Linked DNA regions of Caenorhabditis elegans. The protein of the gene in region 1 purifies or fractionates together with the protein of each later gene. This does not show direct contact. Each region holds a gene or a part of one and is shown in the gene's direction. Other genes may lie near its edges. The genes, in order: cbl-1, klo-1, C01G10.7 and nas-36.

The links.
Region 2: the proteins of cbl-1 (region 1) and klo-1 fractionate together in Caenorhabditis elegans (co-fractionation; one large-scale study listed by BioGRID). This does not show direct contact.
Region 3: the proteins of cbl-1 (region 1) and C01G10.7 fractionate together in Caenorhabditis elegans (co-fractionation; one large-scale study listed by BioGRID). This does not show direct contact.
Region 4: the proteins of cbl-1 (region 1) and nas-36 fractionate together in Caenorhabditis elegans (co-fractionation; one large-scale study listed by BioGRID). This does not show direct contact.

The regions. Positions count from the first base shown.
Region 1 is NC_003279.8:9,326,012-9,331,455, forward strand, and holds cbl-1 (plant cystathionine gamma-synthase), read left to right. Parts: upstream 1-1,845; coding exon 1,846-1,961; intron 1,962-2,006; coding exon 2,007-2,063; intron 2,064-2,395; exon of another isoform or gene 2,396-2,479; intron 2,480-2,615; exon of another isoform or gene 2,616-2,694; intron 2,695-2,763; coding exon 2,764-3,298; intron 3,299-3,368; coding exon 3,369-3,454; intron 3,455-3,831; coding exon 3,832-3,943; intron 3,944-3,992; coding exon 3,993-4,238; intron 4,239-4,285; coding exon 4,286-4,425; intron 4,426-4,649; coding exon 4,650-4,713; 3' UTR 4,714-4,917; downstream 4,918-5,444. Other genes in the region: uggt-2 (UDP-glucose:Glycoprotein Glucosyltransferase), read left to right, coding at 1-47, 94-218, 267-393, 717-923, 1,001-1,150.
Region 2 is NC_003282.8:7,745,426-7,749,984, reverse strand, and holds klo-1 (Glycoside hydrolase family 1 protein), read left to right. Parts: upstream 1-1,983; 5' UTR 1,984-1,996; coding exon 1,997-2,084; intron 2,085-2,143; coding exon 2,144-2,409; intron 2,410-2,459; coding exon 2,460-2,713; intron 2,714-2,797; coding exon 2,798-2,942; intron 2,943-2,983; coding exon 2,984-3,125; intron 3,126-3,279; coding exon 3,280-3,409; intron 3,410-3,450; coding exon 3,451-3,662; intron 3,663-3,750; coding exon 3,751-3,953; 3' UTR 3,954-4,006; downstream 4,007-4,559. Other genes in the region: C46A5.4 (Peroxidase), read left to right, coding at 1-126, 187-683, 954-1,102, 1,149-1,371, 1,498-1,771; npr-35 (G-protein coupled receptors family 1 profile domain-containing protein), read right to left, coding at 4,269-4,440.
Region 3 is NC_003283.11:15,084,160-15,087,450, forward strand, and holds C01G10.7 (Citramalyl-CoA lyase, mitochondrial), read left to right. Parts: upstream 1-1,587; 5' UTR 1,588-1,591; coding exon 1,592-1,798; intron 1,799-1,844; coding exon 1,845-1,949; intron 1,950-2,005; coding exon 2,006-2,668; 3' UTR 2,669-2,759; downstream 2,760-3,291. Other genes in the region: ahsa-1 (Activator of Hsp90 ATPase AHSA1-like N-terminal domain-containing protein), read right to left, coding at 39-170, 221-967, 1,016-1,085, 1,135-1,214; C01G10.15 (FIP (Fungus-Induced Protein) Related), read right to left, coding at 2,792-3,031, 3,075-3,137.
Region 4 is NC_003279.8:7,525,621-7,532,268, forward strand, and holds nas-36 (Zinc metalloproteinase nas-36), read left to right. Parts: upstream 1-1,603; 5' UTR 1,604-1,686; coding exon 1,687-1,788; intron 1,789-2,275; coding exon 2,276-2,386; intron 2,387-2,430; coding exon 2,431-2,515; intron 2,516-2,556; coding exon 2,557-2,635; intron 2,636-2,689; coding exon 2,690-2,760; intron 2,761-2,807; coding exon 2,808-2,931; intron 2,932-3,248; coding exon 3,249-3,315; intron 3,316-3,366; coding exon 3,367-3,450; intron 3,451-3,502; coding exon 3,503-3,746; intron 3,747-4,072; coding exon 4,073-4,198; intron 4,199-4,309; coding exon 4,310-4,544; intron 4,545-4,600; coding exon 4,601-4,716; intron 4,717-4,952; coding exon 4,953-5,003; intron 5,004-5,051; coding exon 5,052-5,178; intron 5,179-5,273; coding exon 5,274-5,384; intron 5,385-5,647; coding exon 5,648-5,768; 3' UTR 5,769-6,095; downstream 6,096-6,648. Other genes in the region: goa-1 (Guanine nucleotide-binding protein G(o) subunit alpha), read left to right, coding at 122-235. UniProt on the Caenorhabditis elegans protein: Metalloprotease. Involved in molting, a process during larval stages in which a new cuticle is formed and the old cuticle is shed.

The DNA.
Region 1 (5,444 bases):
GGTTGCATAAACAAACGGAAAAACAAAGAGTTATGTGGGGATACAAGGTAAATCTTATTAGAATTTTGGATAATCACACTTGAAACTTTTCAGATTCTATTTTTGGATGTTTTATTTCCTCTAAATGTGGATAAAATCATCTTCGTAGATGCCGATCAAGTTGTTCGAGCTGATTTACAAGAATTGATGGATTTCAATTTAAATGGGGCTCCTTATGGGTAAGAATTACAATATAAGAACCCAATTAACTGTTATTATTCATTCAGATATGTTCCATTTTGTGAGAGTCGAACAGAGATGGATGGATTCCGATTTTGGAAAAGTGGATATTGGAAGAATCATTTGATGGGGCGAAAATATCATATTAGTGCACTTTATGTTGTTGATCTTAAGGTATATAAGGATTAATTTTGTGGATTACGGGAAATTGGGTTTCGAAAAGTTTGTATATTTTTAAAGGAAGCTGTGAAAAACTGTGCGCCTTTGAAGAATTACAGTAGCTTCCAGACTTCGTTGTTTTACAATTTAAGTCGTGGAAAACGAAGTAGTAGAAAAATGGATCTTATACAAAAAAAAGTGAAATAATTGAAGAAAACGAAGTAGAATCAAGTAGAAACTACCGTACTCTTACAAGGCTTACAATCTTGTTCGTAACAAAATATTAATTTCATTTCCTATCTAACGTGCATGTTCTTTTATAATACAACATTTTTCAGGCGTTCCGCGAGTTCTCAGCTGGAGACCGCCTTCGTGGTCGGTACGACAGCCTATCTGCTGATCCGAACAGTCTTTCGAATTTGGATCAAGATCTTCCGAACAACATGCTTCACGAAGTTCCTATTAAATCATTACCTCAGGAATGGCTTTGGTGTGAGACATGGTGTGATGATGGAAGTAAAGAAAAGGCAAAAACAATTGACTTGGTGAGATTTAATACTTTTAAGCACTTTTTGTGTTAAACCAATATTTTTAAAAAATATTTTTAAAAAATGTATTTCAGTGCAACAATCCACTGACAAAAGAACCAAAACTGAACTCGGCAAAACGTATTATCAAAGAATGGACAGAATACGATTCAGAAATTTCGAAAGTTTTGAATTCTGCAGATATCAACACTCCATCACCATCAGTGGATCGAGATGAATTATGATTTTCCTGTATTTTTTCATTATTTGAATTTTTTGTTTCTTAAACTGTATCCGAATTATCACAATTGTGTTAAAAATTGTATTACTTGAATGAATATGAATAAATATTTTATGAGCTTATACAAGGAGGAAGGACGGCTAGAAAACCCATGGCTTTAAGCAATCCAGTAACAATGTTTCAACAATTCCAAAATTACCTCTGCTTTCGGGGGGATTTATTCAACTTCAAGATGTTCTTGTAAAGCTTTTCAAAATAAAATAATCTGCGTTCGGGGGGAATCGAACCCCCGTCGAATGCTTGGAAGGCATCCATGCTGACCATTACACCACGAACGCGGTGATGTAACGAAAATGGATATAAAAAGAATAAAATATCTTTATATGTACGATTTTATTGGGATTTATAGGGATGCATAGTCGGAAAATCAAGTTCCCGTCTTTTAAATACCTTTTCCATCCTTTCTTCACATAATCGCCGCGTTCGTGGTGTAATGGTCAGCATGGATGCCTTCCAAGCATTCGACGGGGGTTCGATTCCCCCCGAACGCAGATTGTTTTATTTTGAAAAGTTTTACAAGAAGAATGAAGTTGAATAAACTTTGCTGGCAAATTTTACCTCTACATTTCGTTGAAAATTTACCAAAACCAAACTAACAAAACACTGATAATTTTAAAGTCATCATGTGGAGACTAACTAATGATAAGAACTGATAATCTATCTGATCTTGCATCAGCGAGAGATTATTGGAGAACTGATAAATACATTTCATTTGTAATCACATTTCAGTTCTATTTGCTGTTGGACACAATGAGGTAAGTGTCCACACTGATATTCTCGTATAGTTGAAATTCTTTTAGTGACAGTTTCAACTGGCCAGCTGGAAATAACGAGGCAAGAGAACGTTTGGGAGAAAAGTGAGTTTACTGAATTTCAAGGAGTTCCCCGGTCATTTTCTAAAGTAAAAACTAGGTTTTTTAGGCATCGTAATTTTCAGTTTCGTTGCATTTTTTATTTTTCAATGTTTAATTGACTACTGTAGCGCATCCATCAGAGGTAGGCACGGTTTCAAGGCCTGTGACAGCCTGAAACCTACCGGCCTCCTCGTCTAAATAATGCATTCTGGCGTGAAATTAAAAAACCTGGAGATTGAACCACAAGTTGCGATAGGTATATGTGTTTCTCCTATGCAGAGTTTGCCAGCAAATGTGTTCTAGGGCAAGGGTGTTCTGGTAAAACTTTAAAAAATAAAACAATCTGCGTTCGGGGGGAATCGAACCCCCGTCGAATGCTTGGAAGGCATCCATGCTGACCATTACACCACGAACGCGGTGGTTTTATAAAGAAATGATGGAAAGGGTATTTAAAAGACGGGAACTTGATTTTCCGACTATGTATCCCTATAAATCCCGATAAAATCGTACATATATTTATGTTTTCTTCTTTTTTATATCTATTTTCATCAAATCACCGCGTTCGTGGTGTAATGGTCAGCATGGATGCCTTCCAAGCATTCGACGGGGGTTCGATTCCCCCCGAACGCAGATCAAACTTTTTTGAATGTATAAAAAAAGTTTTGTTAGTAACGGAATTGTTTTCACATATCCTTTTAATCAGATTTGAAAGTCTCCACTTGGACAGTCGAATTTCAACATCTCATGCAAAACCACTTTCAAATGCTGATCCAGTAGTTGTTCCAATTTATCATTCAAGTACTTATCGTTTCAAAACAGTTGATCAATTCAATGAAGACAATCACGGTGCCAACTTTGTATATCGTCGATGCGGAAATCCAACAACTGAAAATGTGGAAGTTGTGATTAATGAGATAGAAGGCGGTGCAGGATCCCTCCTATACAACTCGGGTCTTGCAGCGATTAGTGCAGTTTTTCTGGAATTTCTGAGTTCCGGTGCTCATATGATTGTTATGAACCCAATTTATAGTGGTACATCATCATTTATTAATGAGACATTGGCTCGTTTTGGAGTTGAAATAACTTCTGTTGACGTTGAAAAAGAAAAGGATTTTGCTGGAGCTGTTGAAAAAGCAATTCGGCCAAATACTAAGATGATTTACTTTGAATCAATTGCCAATCCAACGATGGCAGTTCCAGATATTTTGGGAACAATTGAAGTGGCAAAGAAATATAAGGTTAAAAAATATACGATTAAGAGAGCTAGATTAATTATTCAAGTAATCTATTAATTTTACTGTTTTTCAGATTCTTACATGTCTTGATGCAACTTTCTCATCTCCATACAACATTCAACCACTGAAACTTGGAGCAGACATCAGTCTTCATAGCTGGTAAGACTAGTTATTCCAAAATTTAATTCATAGGTGGATCGAGTCTCAAAAATAAAACGGAGATTGGCAGTTGAAAATTTGTCTAGGCCACATTAATTTTAAAGTAAAACTTTCCATTCTTTTAAAAGCGTCGAAGGAGAAGCATCAGTAAGGAAATGATTTGAATCATCTCCTATAGTGTTGAAATGTCCAAGTAAAAGACTTTAGTAAAAAGCTTCCAGTTTTTGAAATTTTGGCAAGTAACCAGAACTTTGACTGGAAACTTTGAACAATTTAAACATTTTGCAGTGTTAGGTGCTCATACTGAACTACAATAAATTTGATTTTACAAAACTCCCACTGATTTTTTCGTAAATAAAATTCGAAAAGAATTGCAGCTCAAAATACATTGGAGGACATACGGATGTGATTGCTGGAGTTGTTACAGTATCATCTTATGATAATTGGAAAAAACTTAAACTTCAACAATTGACGACTGGAAGTTCTTTGGTAAGCAGTTTCTGAGTAGAAAAAAAAACAAAAAACTTGAAACTTGCAGAGTCCATACGACGCTGCCCTGTTGACCAGAGGTCTCAAAACTCTTGGATTGCGAGTTGATAGGATTTCAGAAAATGCTCAGAAAACTGCAGAATTTCTAGAATCCCATCCAAAAGTTGAACGTGTCTTTTATCCAGGACTTCCATCCCACCCACAGCATCAATATGCTAAACAAGTAATGAAACAATTTGCTGGAATGATTGCATTTGATGTTGGAACTGCTGAAAATGCAATCAAGCTTGTTGAGGCTAGTTTATTAATCTAAATGAAAATTCTGAAGAATTATTATTCCAGAGTCTTAAACTAATCATTCATGCAGTATCTCTTGGTGGTACTGAATCTTTAATCGAACATCCTCTGTCAATGTCTCATGGTAAACATTTACTTCGATATTTGGATGGTCCGACTGTTGCCCCTGGACTTCTCCGATTTAGGTACGCTCTGAGTTCTTCTGAATCAAAACTTTTGTATTTAAATTCTATTTAAAGTACATAACAGAAACTTTCTATCGGCAATTTTGACAATATCCGATTTTCAATTCGAAAGTGCTCCCTTAAAATTGTTTTGGCCATTTTATTTTTTCCAGTTAAAAACATTTTTTAAAAATAACTTAAATAGGAGTAAATTATTAGAAACTACAATTTAATAATTTTTGCAGCGTTGGCATTGAAAATGTGGAGGATATTATTGGAGATTTGAATGATGCCCTCGAGAAGCTTTGAGCAATTTCTTCAACATTTCGAAATCATTTCTCTTTAAAAAATTAATAACTTCTTTTTTCAGTTTTTTTTCAGATTATTGTCAAAAGTCTATAGATATTCTATAAAAGTTCAGAAAAATCATCGCTTGTGCCGTCTCACTTTTGTAACAAATGAATTGCAATCAGTGATTTATTGTACTTCTCCTAAATAAAAAAGATGATATACAATAGAAAATGTAGAGAATTAGAGATTAATTGACATGATATCTATTGACAGGAAACAAGATGATTCTATCACTAGTGAAACGATTAAGAACTTGATAATATTGAATGTATCTCAAAAGGAAATTATATTGCTTAGAGATCATTGATTCTTTAGTAGAAGTGCACATTGAAAATGGCAATCACTATCAGGAAAACTGGAGATTGGAATTTAGAAAAAATCTTATACTTTTCTGCAAAAAAAAACCGCGCGATTAAGAACTCGGAGAAACAAAAAAAAACATTTTCGTTGCTTGCTAATTAGCAAAATTTTCCAAGTTTCAATTTTGTTTCAAGGACGTCGACAAATGTTTATCTTTTTTTGTAATTTTTGGTTTTGTCAACAAATTGAAAAAAAATCTGTTGCAAAACTTTCCAAAAATTAAAAAATAATGAAATATGGACTTTGAAAAAACAAAAGATATTTTTGTCGTTATCATATTCTCATACCTCTTATCTCTCTTTCTGTAATATTCTCTCAATAGATTCTGT
Region 2 (4,559 bases), on another chromosome or scaffold:
GATGAAAGAAGTAATGAGCAGCCGGGTCTCACTGCAATTCACAATATATTCTTGAGAGAACATAACAGAATTGCAAGATATTTGAAGCAAATAAATAATTTCTGGAGTGACGAGAAGCTCTTCCAGGTTAGTTGCAATTCTTGAATGTTGTATTGAAATTCCTATATAAACCCACCTAGTTTATAGGAATCCCGTCGAATCAACATTGCACAACTTCAACACATTATTTACAAAGAATGGTTGCCAGTGGTTCTTGGTTGCCAGAATATGGAAAAATGGGGTCTAATGCCACAAACAGCTGGATATTTTGAGGGTTACGATGATCAATGTGATGCCACAATATCCCAAGAAATGTCAACATCTGCATTTCGATTTGGACATTCTTTGATCCGTGGTGTATTCACACGAATGAATGACAATTTCCAAAACATGACAAATCATGTAAATTTAACTGAAACTTTTTCGAATCCATCTCCAGTTTACGATAAGAACTCCGGTCATATGGAGTCAATCTTAATGGGATTAATTGGAGCAAACAGTATGGCTTTTGATCGTCATATTGTCACGGCTGTTCGGAATCATTTGTTCGCAAAACCTGGTGGTCCACTAACTGGACTGGATCTTCCAGCAGTGAATATTCAAAGAGGCAGAGATCACGGAGTTCAAGGTTACAATGCATATAGGTTTGTATTTCAATTTAAATTTTATAAAACCGGCAGTAGATGAAAATGCCTACATTTGTGGCGCGAAATGTCTCCAAGCATATCTTTACGTTTTGCGTCAACCGTTTCTGTCATCACAATTTAGCAATTTCCCTAGTTGTTCACTTGGGTTTCTTAGGCGAAATATTTAACACATAATTACGAGATTAAGTGGTTAACCTCGATGGGTATCGGCTGAGCATATTGTTCGCATGTAAACATTTCAAATTTATATTTTAAGAAGTATTTCAGAAAACACTGTGGACTTCGAAAAGCATCGGCTTTCTCTGATCTTCGTGATGTCATGAACTCAGAAGCTGTGACAGCTTTAGAAACAGCTTATGCTCATGTTGACGACATTGACCTGTTCCCGGGAATCATGAGTGAATCTCCAACTAGAGGTGACCCGGAATTTCTACTTGTTGCTTTTTTAAAATAATTATTAAGGCTCACTTGTTGGCCCAACATTAGCATGTCTTATTGGTGAACAAATGCAAAGATTGAAAAAATGCGACAGATTTTATTATGAGACAAGTGATTCAATGGTTCGATTTACTCCAGATCAACTTGTCGAAATTCGAAAAGCCAGTTTGTCAAGAATTATTTGCGATAATAGTGAATATGCCGCAAATATTCAACCCAATGTGTTCCTTATGCCAGACGATCTTACGTAAGTTGGAGATTTATTGAACAGGTCTATAAATGATCATTTTCAGTTTAATAAACATTTTTAAAAAATTTAAAAAAACAGTTTTCTTATTAATAATTAGTTCAAAAACTTAAATATAATTTTCAGAAACTCTCCGATGACATGCTCTGAACTTTCTGAGATTGACCTGAACAAATGGGTTGAACGAGACTATTGCCTTGTTGATGAACGTGTAGTTAATCGTGGAAAAACTAAACGAATAACTCCATGTATCACCTGTACATGTACATTAGAAGGTCCTGAATGTCATTCAATCACAATTGATGATTGTTCTCGTCTTCTTCGTGATTACTCAATCACTGATATTCAAAAGGATCCAGTTTGCCTCATTCAATGCTCTCAGCAACTCAAAAAGCTTTGAAATAATTTATTTATTTTTTATCAAACTCTAATTTTGATATTCTGACCTCTTACAGTATTCGTTCAAACCTTCTGGTATTCCATTTCATGTACATAAATAATATGATTTTCCATACCTCTATTATCAGGCACAAACAATGTTCATTTACATAACCCGATTGAACACAACTGTTGACACACAAAATACCTCTTATCAGTTATCATTCCGTCGATGTCTTGTTCGGTTATGTCTTTGCCAACTAAATTTCCAAAAAATTTCCAATTGGCTACGGCTACCGCGGCGTATCAAATTGAAGGTGCAAAAAATCTAGATGGTAAGTTTATTTTGAATTAAAAATTATTCTTTTAGAAATTTACTTCTGAAATCATTAAGGCCGCGGATTCAGTACTTGGGATTCAATTCGTTCTGAAAATGGTAGAATTCATGATAACTCGGACCCTGATCTTTCCTGTGAAGGTCGTCTAAAATACAAAGAAGACGTTGCTCTTCTCTCAAAAATCGGTGTCACCAGCTACCGATTTTCAATTTCTTGGTCCAGAATTCTTCCAGATGGAACTTTAAAAACAATAAATGAAGATGGCATTCAATTCTATCGTGATATTTGTCTTCTACTACGTGACAATGGAATTGAGCCAATTGTATGTAATAATTTCTTTGAAACATAAAAAAGCGAAAACATGTTATTTAGGTGACACTGTTCCATTTCGACATGCCTCTTTCAATTTATGACAATGGAACATCATGGCTAAACAAGGAGAATTGTGAACATTTCGAGAAATTCGCAGATTTATGTTTCCAAAAGTTTGGAGATCTTGTGAAGACATGGATAACTTTCAACGAAATAAACATGCAGGCTTGGTCATCAGTTGTAAAGATTGAAGGAGAACTTTGGTTATGCCCAGATCGTCCAGAAATCGAGAATCATGAACAAGCACCTTACATGTCAGTTTCTGAAGAAAAAAACCTTTGAAAGCGAAGGAAAAAACAAATGTTTTGGAATAAGCTGATTGAATATTTTATTTTCAGTGCAGCCACCAACATGCTTCTTACTCACGCAAAAATTTATCGAAACTACCAGAAAAACTACAAAGAAACTCAAAATGGCTTGATCGGAATAACAAATGGTGGAAGATTCTGTCTACCTGCTTCAGATTCTCCTGCAGATCTTGATGTTAGTCAAACTATTGACTTCCTTACTTTAATGATTTGCAGGCATGTAATCGAGCGCTGGATTGGCTCTTCAATTATACAATTGAACCAATTTTGACTGATTCCGGAGACTTCCCAGCCTCAATGAGAGAAAAATTACCGTTTCTACCAAAGTTCTCTGAAGAAGAAAAGAAACTCATCAAAGGTTAGCTGTCGATCGGAAATTTTTGATTTTAAAAAGATTAGTTAACTTTTTTTTTCTAAGTTAGCCTTGCACCATATTGGCAGCTCTAAATTCATTTTGCTGATATATTTTACCAATTATAATTTTCAATTTTTTTCAATTATAATTTTTTCAGGAAGCACTGATTTCCTGGGAATAAACTATTATCTCAGCCACATTGTTCGTAATTTAAATGATGGGGAGGAGCCAGCATCTCAATCAGAAAGAGACGCAGCTTATGCGTTTAATGAAGGAAAATGGGAAAAGTTGGTTTTTTCAAGTTCTCCTATAACCAAGAAATTTGCAGAATTTGTGGTGAGACATGGGTTCGTTATGCACCAGACGGTTTGTTCGGGCTTTTGAAATATGTTAGAGACAAGTACAATAATATTCCTGTATTCATCACTGAAAATGGATGTATGGATTTGGTAGGAGGTGAAGGAAGAAAAGAAGAGGAGATACTTGATGATAAGCATCGCATAAAATTTATTTCCGGACATTTGGAAGCGGTAGCTAAAGGTAAATTAAATTTGAAAAAAGTTTCGAAAAATAAAAAAACAATGATATTCAATTAATTTTTGGGAAACTTCGATCACTTGAATTTCAGCACTGGAAGAAGGATGTAATGTCATTGGCTACACACTCTGGACTCTGATGGATAATTTCGAATGGGATGACGGATTCGGTGTTAAATTTGGAATTTGTCGCGTCGATTTTGATTCTCCAGACAAAACAAGAACCATGAAATATTCGGCTAAATATTATCAAACTTTTATTCGCGAATTTAAAAAGCATCATAATCTTTTGTAGAATGGATACAAATGTATTGATAATAAATAGATTGCATGCTAGTAAAAACATTTAAAGCATTTGTGATGGTTGAAACAATAGAAAACACGTGGAAATGGAAAACCGTAATTGAAAAAAGGAACATGGAAAACGTTTAGTTGTAGGAAACAGTTGATTAAAAAAAAACTTTCTCTATTGTTGATTAATACACTACATAATTTTTTAATTCAATCCGTAATAATGTTTTCATGTTTTCGAATACCTAAGATTCTGAAAATGTTTGAACTCCTAACGTTCTAGATATAAAAATATTCATATTCAATGATTTTAAAAAGTTTAACAATCAGAAGTAGATCTTTCCACCTGTTTTCCATCTAGTTCAATAAGTAAACTAGATGCTCCACCTAAATTTGTTGGTTCAGTTCCAAAATTAGACATTGAAATTGTTGCAGTTGATTTGAAGCCACGAGAGTGACGACGGAGTATTGTGCTTCGGACTCTTTCGTATCTGAAAATATACCGATTATTTGAAAATAAATTTAGTCTTAAAAATAAACGTTAGAAACGCATTTTACAGGAAAATGCATTTACAAGAGATAAATAATACATTTGAATAAAACTAATAAA
Region 3 (3,291 bases), on another chromosome or scaffold:
GAACATCAAAAACAGGAGATTTGCAATTTTTCATTTTTTCACATTCGCTGGCTGAATCCGAAAGTACGACCAATGCTTGAAAGGTAGTAACGATCGAGTCCTTGTTGAGTTTCTTCAGCGAGATGAGTTGGAACATCTTTAGCGATGATTTTGATATCCGTTCCAGATCCCTAGAATTTATTATAATAGAAGGTTTATCCTCGTTTGTTCTAAAACTTACAGTATCTTTCAACTGGAAATGGATGGTTGCATGATGATTGTTTGGATACTTTTTCAGTCGCCATTTCTTCACAATCTCCTTGTTCGGCTCAATCTTCTCGAATGTTCCAGTCACGTTTTCCCCGAACAATGCAAATGATCCTCCTTCCTTGAAATTCCACTCTCCGATCGAATTGTTTGTCCATCCACGAACGAATTGAGTCTCTGTGAGCGCCTCGAAAACTCTATCCGGTGTGGCCTTGTAGGTATCGGAAGTTGAAACCTCTTTGGTGGAGAACACTTCATTTCCAGAAGTGGAAGCGTCCTTTTCCGCGACAACAGTGTTTTGGAACTGACGTTTGTCAACGACTGAAGTCTTTCCAGTAGTAACGACTTGTGGCTTCACTTTATCAGTTGGCAGAATGAGACCCTTGCTGAATTCTTCCTTCAATTCACGGATATAGATTCCCATAACATCTTGAATCTTTGCAATGAACGATTTGTTAAGAACTTGGCGGATTTGATGAGCCATTGGGCCATTTCCACTCAATGACGAATTCACATCCACTTCGGATGCATCGTTCTCATCACTCAAGTTTGGGATATCGAAAGTTCCTTTATATTCGTCTTCACTGCCAGAAACACGAGCAATGAATGTTCCTTCGATAACCCATTCAAAAAGGAAGATGAGCTTAGCCTTCCGGTTGTTTGCCGTTGCTTCTCCGTCGATCTTTTTGATCTCATCGATTGTCACGACAATTGGGCCATCCTGAAAACGAATACTCTTAATACGATCTTGTTCAACTATTAATTATACCTCGGACGAAAATCCGGTGAGAAGTTCACGGAGTCGGTTCAAAGACCACGGGGTTGCATTCTTCTCCGACCTAAAACATACTTATTCAGCTCAAAGCTATGACTTCAATCGAGACCCACCAATGCCAATTGTTTACGTTTGTTGCATCGGCTCGTTCTTCAACAATCCAGCGTGGATCTCCTTCTCCCCACTTGGCCATTTAAATTCCCTGAAATTAATTTAAGTCAGTTTATCGAGATTTTTAAGGTGAACATCAAGCCAGATTAAGTCGTTTTGTACTTAAAACAATGGAATTTCAATTTAAAACTTGAAAATAAATATTTAACGTTGAAATCAAAACAAGAAATCTTTGAAATTTCGTTGAAAACAGGAGAAACTCAATTAATTTCGAGAAAATTCATGAAAAATGGAAGAAACTAGGCCAGCAGGCCACGACCGCTTATCAATAGGGCGAGCTTGCATTGCAATTTTTGTGTGGATTTACGCACGTAATTGGTTATTTATTTTTGTTTTTTTTTTTCAGATTTTACGTTACACATTTTTTTAAAATAAATTAATTTTTTCAATTTCAGAAAAATGCTTCCTAAAACGATAATTAGGCACATCTCACAGTTTGCCGGAGTTCGGGACGCAGCAAAGTATGTTCCAAGACGTGCACTTCTATACGTTCCAGCCAGCAATCAAAAAATGCTGGATAAAGTTCCAATGATGCAAGCGGATTCAGTAGTTTTGGAGCTAGAAGATGGCGTTGCTCTGACGGCTAAAGCTGATGCTAGAGTTCGAGTACGTGAAAAGTAATTGGAAATTTGTCTACAATTTGAGTTTTCAGGCTGCGGCGGCTCTTGATAAACTGCCATATCACACATTGGCATGCCAGGAGCTTGGTCTACGTGTCAATTCTGTAAGCAGTGGTCTTCTCGAAGATGATATCATTGTAAGATTTATTTTTGAATTTTTCAAACTTTATCCTCACGAATTTTTTAATTTCAGGCAGTATCGAAAGCTGAAAAGTTGCCACAAGCATTTATGATTCCGAAAGTAGACTGCCCTGAAGACCTTGTCACCATCTACAACATCTTCCGTGAACACTACGGAGATGAACGGATCACAAACACGAACACTCGGCTTGTTATCTGGATCGAATCTGCACGAGCTCTTCTGGATATGCCACGAATAGTCTCATCAACTCTAAATCTTCATAAACAAGCCGGATTCTTCAAGCTAGATGCAGTTGTCTTTGGATCAGACGATTTCTGTGCAGATATCGGAGCTACACGAAGCTCTCACGGCACTGAAACCCTATTCGCTCGACAGAAATTTGTGACTTGCTGTAAAGCATTCCAACTTCAAGCAATCGACAGTGTCTACATAGATATCAAGGATCTTGACGGTCTCCGTCGTCAGTCTGCAGAAGGGTGGCAGTGGGGTTTCACTGGAAAACAAGTCATTCATCCAAGTCAAGTGTCTGTGGTCCAGGAGCAATTTCTGCCTCCGAAGGATCGAATCGAATGGGCTCAGGAGCTGGTCCACGCTTACAGTGAGCACGAGGCATTAGGAAAAGGAGCTTTCCAGTTTAGAGGACAAATGATCGATCGACCACTTCTGCTGCAGGCATTGAATATTATTCAGCTCGTGGAGAGAGTTCAGAATTAAATTCTAAATTCTAAATGTTGTAAAACTTTTTATGTACATTTTTAAATATAGCTCTAGTTGCCAGTGTAATATAATAAAAACGAGTAATTTTAAAATTTCTTTATTTGTTCAAATTCAGACAAATCACTTCTTTCCATAAGTCAAGTAATAAGTAGTGTATCCATTGCTGTTGCTCGGGTAGTAGTAAGTGTATCCATTATTGTTACTGCAGCCGGAGCAACCATTATTGTATCCATTGTTATCGTAATAGTAATAAGTTTGACCATTATTGTTATTATTATTATTATTCGGGTAGTAGTAATAAGTCGTGTATCCGTTATTGTTATTGTTGTTGTAACCGTTGTTCGGGTAGTAATAGTAGAGCTGAAACAAAAAAATGGGAATCAGATAATCAATAGGAACTTACATAATAAGCGTTGGCAGTGGAGAAAAGCACGAGAAGAGTGGCGATCAGTGTAAGGAATCTCATTTTCTAGGAGAGATCAAAGCGAAGTTTATGTTTTCCCCTCTTTACTCGAATCTTTTATACACTTTTACCCTACTCAACATCAAGCTCCACCTCCGTGGCTCCCTTTTGATCTCTCTCTCTTTCAAGAGAAGGGCTAACAGTTTACCAACTCTCA
Region 4 (6,648 bases), 1.8 Mb from region 1:
ATATTGCGGTTACTGTAGTTTCATATTTGAATAGGTAGTTAAAGTTGAGTGTTGAGGTAATAATTTTAATTCATTATTTCATTTAATTTGTTTTCTTTTGAAATAATATTCTTATTTGCAGGAAATCTATTGCCACATGACATGTGCCACAGACACAACTAACATTCAATTTGTGTTTGACGCTGTCACCGATGTGATTATTGCCAATAATCTTCGTGGATGCGGCTTGTATTAAGCTGTCGTCTTCGCCGCCCTCTTCTACCATTCTGTGTGTATCTTTGCTTACTTTTCCCAAATTTTTAAAGATTCGTTATTTTTCTCATCCCCCGAGTATGCATCTATAATTTGAGAGCTTTACATGTACATTATGGTTGCAACTGTTTTTATTTTTTGGAAAAAGTTGCAATTTCAGATGTATATGGGCTTTTTTTTAACCTCTGATTCATTCATAATAGTCTCACCGCCCTTCTTTTTCTCAACTAGGATCCCTAATTTTTCTGTCACAAAAATAACACATAAAACTCACAATTATTTATTTTTTCCTTTTTTCTTATTTATTATATATTGTCATTATTCACGCCACATCCCCCGCCCTTCTCACTCCCGTGTAGCCTTATCGCTATTTGAAAACAAGAAAACTTTAAAAATCTAAATTCAGTTGGAATTCGTCCCGTTCCGCCACACACCCCCTAAAGGTCTCTTCACCCCGAATTATAAAGCTTTGCCCCTTTTTTCTTTCTTTTCTCCCATTTTTCAACACACCTAGTCACTGTTAACAGTTAAATAATGGCAGCTTTTGTCTATGTTTAAAGATTTTATTTTTAATTTTTGGTATTTTTCTATTTCTACTCTTCCCCTCTCATCCATTTTCCCTCCTTTTCCTAAAACCACACTTCCAAACTCATTTTTCTCGCTGTTTTCCTCTCCCTATTTTTTCTTTTACTTTTTCATTTTTCCATCTTTTTTCTTTAAAATCGTCTCGCTTTTTGTCGGTGAGCACGATGGTGTGCAGTAGACGATATTTTCCGCATTGGTTTATTGTCGACTGCACCCACTCATTGATATCTTATTTGATATAAACGACATCCTCAACTAGTTTTCGTACAAATTCAGTTTGGTGGATACAAAAGTACAGTGATTTAGTTTGCATGGGAAATTGCATATGGGACTACCGTACATATGTCTAGATAAAAAACCAATATTTTTAAAACTCGATAAAATTTAAATTTCCCTGAACTCCTTTTTGAATAACCACCAAGAAGTTTAAACCTCGCGCGCGAATTTAAAATTTAATTGTTATTTTGAATTATTAGCATGGTTTAAAACAATTTCCCCATCATTACCAAGATTTAAAAAAATCAAAACCTATTGTTATAACATCAAAAGTGGGAAACCCCAAAAATAGTCTTCAGATAATGATTTTCTCAAGATAAATGACCCGGAAGTGAGTGTTACTAAAGCGAAAAACCTTCCAAATGTCAAGTTTCATTAAATTTTACAACAATCATCTAAAAATGTGTCCTTTTTGTCACACAATTGTGTTCATTTTCCATCAGCTTTTCCCTCCTCCTCCCACTATGTGATAAACTTTCACTTTTTCTGTTCATTTGCCAAAAAAAAGAGAATATCTCATACACTTTCCTATCTTCTCTTTTAATTGAACTATTATTCTATTTCATGAGAAATATGAGATTATGTCATTCAATTATTTTATTTAATTCTTTAATTTCTATTTCTATTTGCTCGAAAGCTGATGATCCTGCACTTTTGGTTGCTAGTGAATTTAAGGTTTGCCAAGATTTTTCAGAAACATTTCCAAAATTTCAGTTAAAAATTTGGCAATCGGAGGAATTTTCATTAAATTCATCTCAATTTCGCATGTTTGAATGCATCTATTACGGGAACATATTTGACGCTCAAAATATCTCGTAGCGAAAACTACAGTAACTCATTAAATACTACTGTAGCGCTTGTGTCGATTTACGGGCTCGATTTCTGAGAAGATACAAACTCGTTGATTTTTCGGTATAAAATTAAAATCAAGAAAAACATTAGAAAATGAAGAAACAAAGAAAAATGAAGTGCCGGTGTCACTATTCGGAAAGAAATTCATTTTAAAGCTCTTGTCCGTAAATCGACACATGTGCTACAGTAGTCATTTAAAGAATTACTGTAATTTTCGCTGCGAGATATTTTGCGCAATATGCATTCTCGGAATTTTGTGTGCCTGTATTTTTAAAAATAGAGATTATAATAATGAATAAAATTAATTTAGGAGCATTTCAATGTGGAAGAAAAACAATTGGAAACTGTTGAAGAATTGCTTATTAAAATGAAAAAATTGGCGCATTCAAGAAGTTTTAAGGGAAGAGAATTTGGTCATGATGTATGATTTGTCATTTATATTTTTCTGTAATTTTTTTTGTTTAGGCAGTTGAAGACTCAAAGAAAGAAGTGGCAATTAGTACTCAACAAGGAACAATTAATAAAAAAGTTTCACCGTTTTTGTTTGAAGGTATTTATTAAGTTTTTGTGAGTATCAAATAATGCTTTCAGGTGATATTTTTCTATCTCGACGTCAAGCAGTTGATATTCTGAAAGCTTTATCAAAAGATAAAACCAAACGATTGAGAAGGTAATTTTTTAAATTATACATTTTAAAGATTGTTCTAATTACTTTACATTTAAGATCATTTGTTTCGGATAAAACTGCCACGTGGAAAACCATGCCAATCAAGTATCGTTTTCATGAAAGTATAGGTAAATAGGATATTTACTTTGCCTTCAAAAAATATAATTAAATTCAGATTTCTATACAATTAGTCAAATCATCGCAGCGATTCGTTTCTGGGAAGATTCCACGTGTATCACTTTTGAAAATGTTTCTGATTCACCAGATGGTGATTATATCGAGTTTTTCAGTGGACAAGGGTAAAGAACTTATTTCAACTTTTTTAAAGTTAAAGTAAAACATTTAGAGAAAAAAATGGTTTACGATTAATATATTATATTCCCATTATAATTAGTTGTATCTATACATTGTTGCAACGATGCTTAAAGTTTCTCAAAAATTATCTATTTATCAAAAAAAATTCTCAAAACTAAAAAAAAAAAGATAATTTTTACAATTTTTCTATGATGGTCATGCGGTACAATTTCAACTATACTCAAACAAATTTCCGTTAGCTTTTAATTTGAATAAATCCAATTTAGGCTTATTTAAAACAGTACAAAATTAATATTTTTAGATGCTACTCTATGATCGGACGAAACGGTGGTCGTCAAGGTATTTCAATTGGTGAAAGTTGTGTTAAAGCAAGTTTTTTTGTCGTTTGATTGAACTCCTAACACCTCTTTTTTTGACAGATGGGCGTCATTGAACATGAAATTGGACACGCACTCGGGCTTTGGCATGAACAGAGTAGACCTGATGCATTGGGTTATGTTACTGTATGTACCTTTAAATTGATTTTTGATTGAGTCAATTGTTCCTTGATTTCAGATCGAACGAGATTTTATTCTTCCTTCGTATATAAGTGATTTCCTTCAACGTGACGATGAAATTGATACATTGGGAATACCGTATGATTTGGGATCAGTAATGCATTATGGAAGTACTGCATTTAGTGTTGATCAGAAAAGTAAAACAGTTGTTACAAGAGATTCACTTTATCAACAGACTATTGGACAACGAGAAAAACTTTCGTTTTATGACGTGGCAACTATAAATACTGCCTATTGTAAAGGTATGACAATTAAAAAGTTTTTTTTAATCAGGAAATTTATGTGGAATTGGAACTATTCTTGAAAATATTAATATTCCCACTATTAGTATTTAAAGATGGAGTTAGGAAAATATATAGATTATATATTCAAATACTCGGAGTATTTCGATATGCTGAAGTACAAGAACAAACGATTGAAAAATTTAGGTTAATCTCATTTTTTGAATAACCTCTAATATGAGAACTGCAAGGCCAATCAGCTATTTGCTCCGCCCATCTTTAAACCAGAAATATATTACTGGATTCTCCTAAAAAAATAAAATAATTTCAATTGTGAATTGTTTCAGATGAATGCAAGTCTGAAAAAACCAAATGTGAAAATGGAGGATATATGAGACCATCAAAATGCTCCGAATGTCTTTGTCCAGATGGTCTTGGTGGAGAAAAGTGTGAGAAGAATGAAGACTCGAAAAGTATGTTTTTTGAGAATTTTTGAAGTTTGACAAGAAGCTGAGATCTCAATTTTTCAAATCTCTATCTTATTCTTACTATAATTAGAGATTATATGAATAGGCATATTTTAGACGCTGAATGTGGTGGAATTATTAAATTAACTGAAGAATGGAAAGAGATTGAATCTCCAAATTATCCGGATCCAGGATATGAAGCTGATCAAAAATGTTCTTGGTTGTTGAAAGCGGAAAAAGGAAAACGAGTGGAAATTGAATTTATTGAAGATTTCTCATTTCTCTGTACATCTACATGCGTTGATTTTGTAGAGCTGAAGATTTCTGATGACTTGAGAAATACTGGATTCAGGTTTCTTTTTTCTTCAAATTGATGTTTGAAAATGGGTGTGTTAACTAAAATTTCAGATTCTGCTGCTATGATAAACCAGAAATCAGTTTTGTTTCTCAGACTGACACTGCTATTATTATTTTCCGATCACAACTTTCTACGGATATTGGATTTAAAATTCAAGCAAAATCTAGTGAGTTTTCCGATTAAAAATATTTGGACAGATGAGGTTTCGTAAATTTAAAACAACTCTGAAAATTTTTTTAATTATCAAAACCAAATGTTTCGTTATATTCAGAGCATTGCGACTTTTGAGAAAAATATATTATTTGAAGTATTTAGATGAATTGATTATTAAAACTTTTAAAAATAGCCAAAAAACCAAAATGCAAATACTTTTTCCTAAACTGTCTTTAAAAAATAATTCAGCCGATGCCGAACCAAGGACAACAATTGCTCCAACAATTATCACAACAACTTGTATGTTTCTTTTTCATTTTTCTTGTTATAACATTTTCAAATTTCCAGTGGCACCAATAACTGTTGATGCACCAAATGTATGGGCAGATTGGGGTGAATGGTCAATGTGTTCAAGAACATGTGGAGGTTGTGGAATTAGAAGTCGGGTCAGATCATGTAGAAGCAAAAAGTGCGAGTAAGTGATTTTTAATTAACACCCTTGAGAGCGTTGATCCTGATTGATTTCAAATGAAAATATATTCAAACCTTGTAAGGATATTTATCTTTCAGGGGACGACGACAAGAATTTGGAACCTGTAATTTGAAAGCGTGCCCTGTTGATAAACATTGCGCAAAGCTACTATCAAATAATAGGCTTTGCAATGGAAAAGTGTGTACCAAGTGAGTTGATATGGAATTTAAAAACTACTTTAAAATTTACATAGTGTTTAAAAAAACTCTCAAAAAAAAATTAATTTAAAAACCTTGAGCAACTCTGATTTAAAAAAAAGTTTTTGAGCTTTGAAGATGCTGGAATTACTCAAAAAATTACATAGTTTTTGGAACTTGTGTATTCGGAACATTGTATCGACAATTTCGTCTGAACATTTTCCAACAGATTTTCGTTACTTTGAATTCTGTTGTTTTTATTTTCAAAACTGCAGAAACGACATTGCAATATCGTCATGTGATGCTCCACAATGTTGTCCTCCGTTTATTAATGTTGATGGAGTATGCCAATCTGATCAAGAAAATCAACATGATGAATTATGGCTTTCTATTTAATCATCCATACTTTTCGAATCTTAAATATTTCATGAATTGTTTTTCTTCAAATTTCGACGTCTTGGCTAAACTTGCAACAATTTTCTATGTCTATTTGTATTTTCATTAATGTATTTTTCTAATTGTCATACAAGATATTCTAAATTATTTCCTTCTAGGTCTTTCAAATTCACATTTCTTGTTTCTACTTAAACGGGTTGTTTTCATTTTATTTCTTAAATTTATTTCTTGTGAATTATTCAGAAAAACAATAATTTTCTGCTAATCTTGTTATAGGATTTTCTGTAATTTTATATCAATAAACAGTTATCGTATGTTCTCTATAAATCTTTGTTCACTCAACTCGATAAAAAATATATTTTTTTCTTCAAAAATTGTTTCATATTTTGTCCATTAGTGAATTTATCCAAAGGTAATTCTAAATAAAAATAAATAAATAAAAAATAATAAAAAAAATTTAAAAAAAAAGGTAAAATTAGGTAATGAAAAAGGTCACTAAGTTCTTACCTATCATAACTTGAAACGGTGAATCAAATAGTAATCTTGAACTGCTGAAATAATGTATTCCGGAAAATAGAAAAGTATTTGTAAATGCAAAGAAAGATTAAAATCTGGTAAAAACAACTAGTTCTTCATTGTCTTTTCTTACAGTTTTTAGTTATTCGGAAGCTTTCTTTCACTCATCTCAACACTCCATTTTATTCTAATTCGAAGCGTTTTTTTGCATTTTTCTCATTGGAGATCCATGGAAAGAGAAGAATGAGAAATTAAGAAGGCTTAAGCTTTATCTCTAAATCCATCTTTTAGCCTTCATATTACGAAACGGTATCTGTCTATGTCTCTTTTCTTTTTTTCTATTTCTCACCTTTCAGATTAAAAT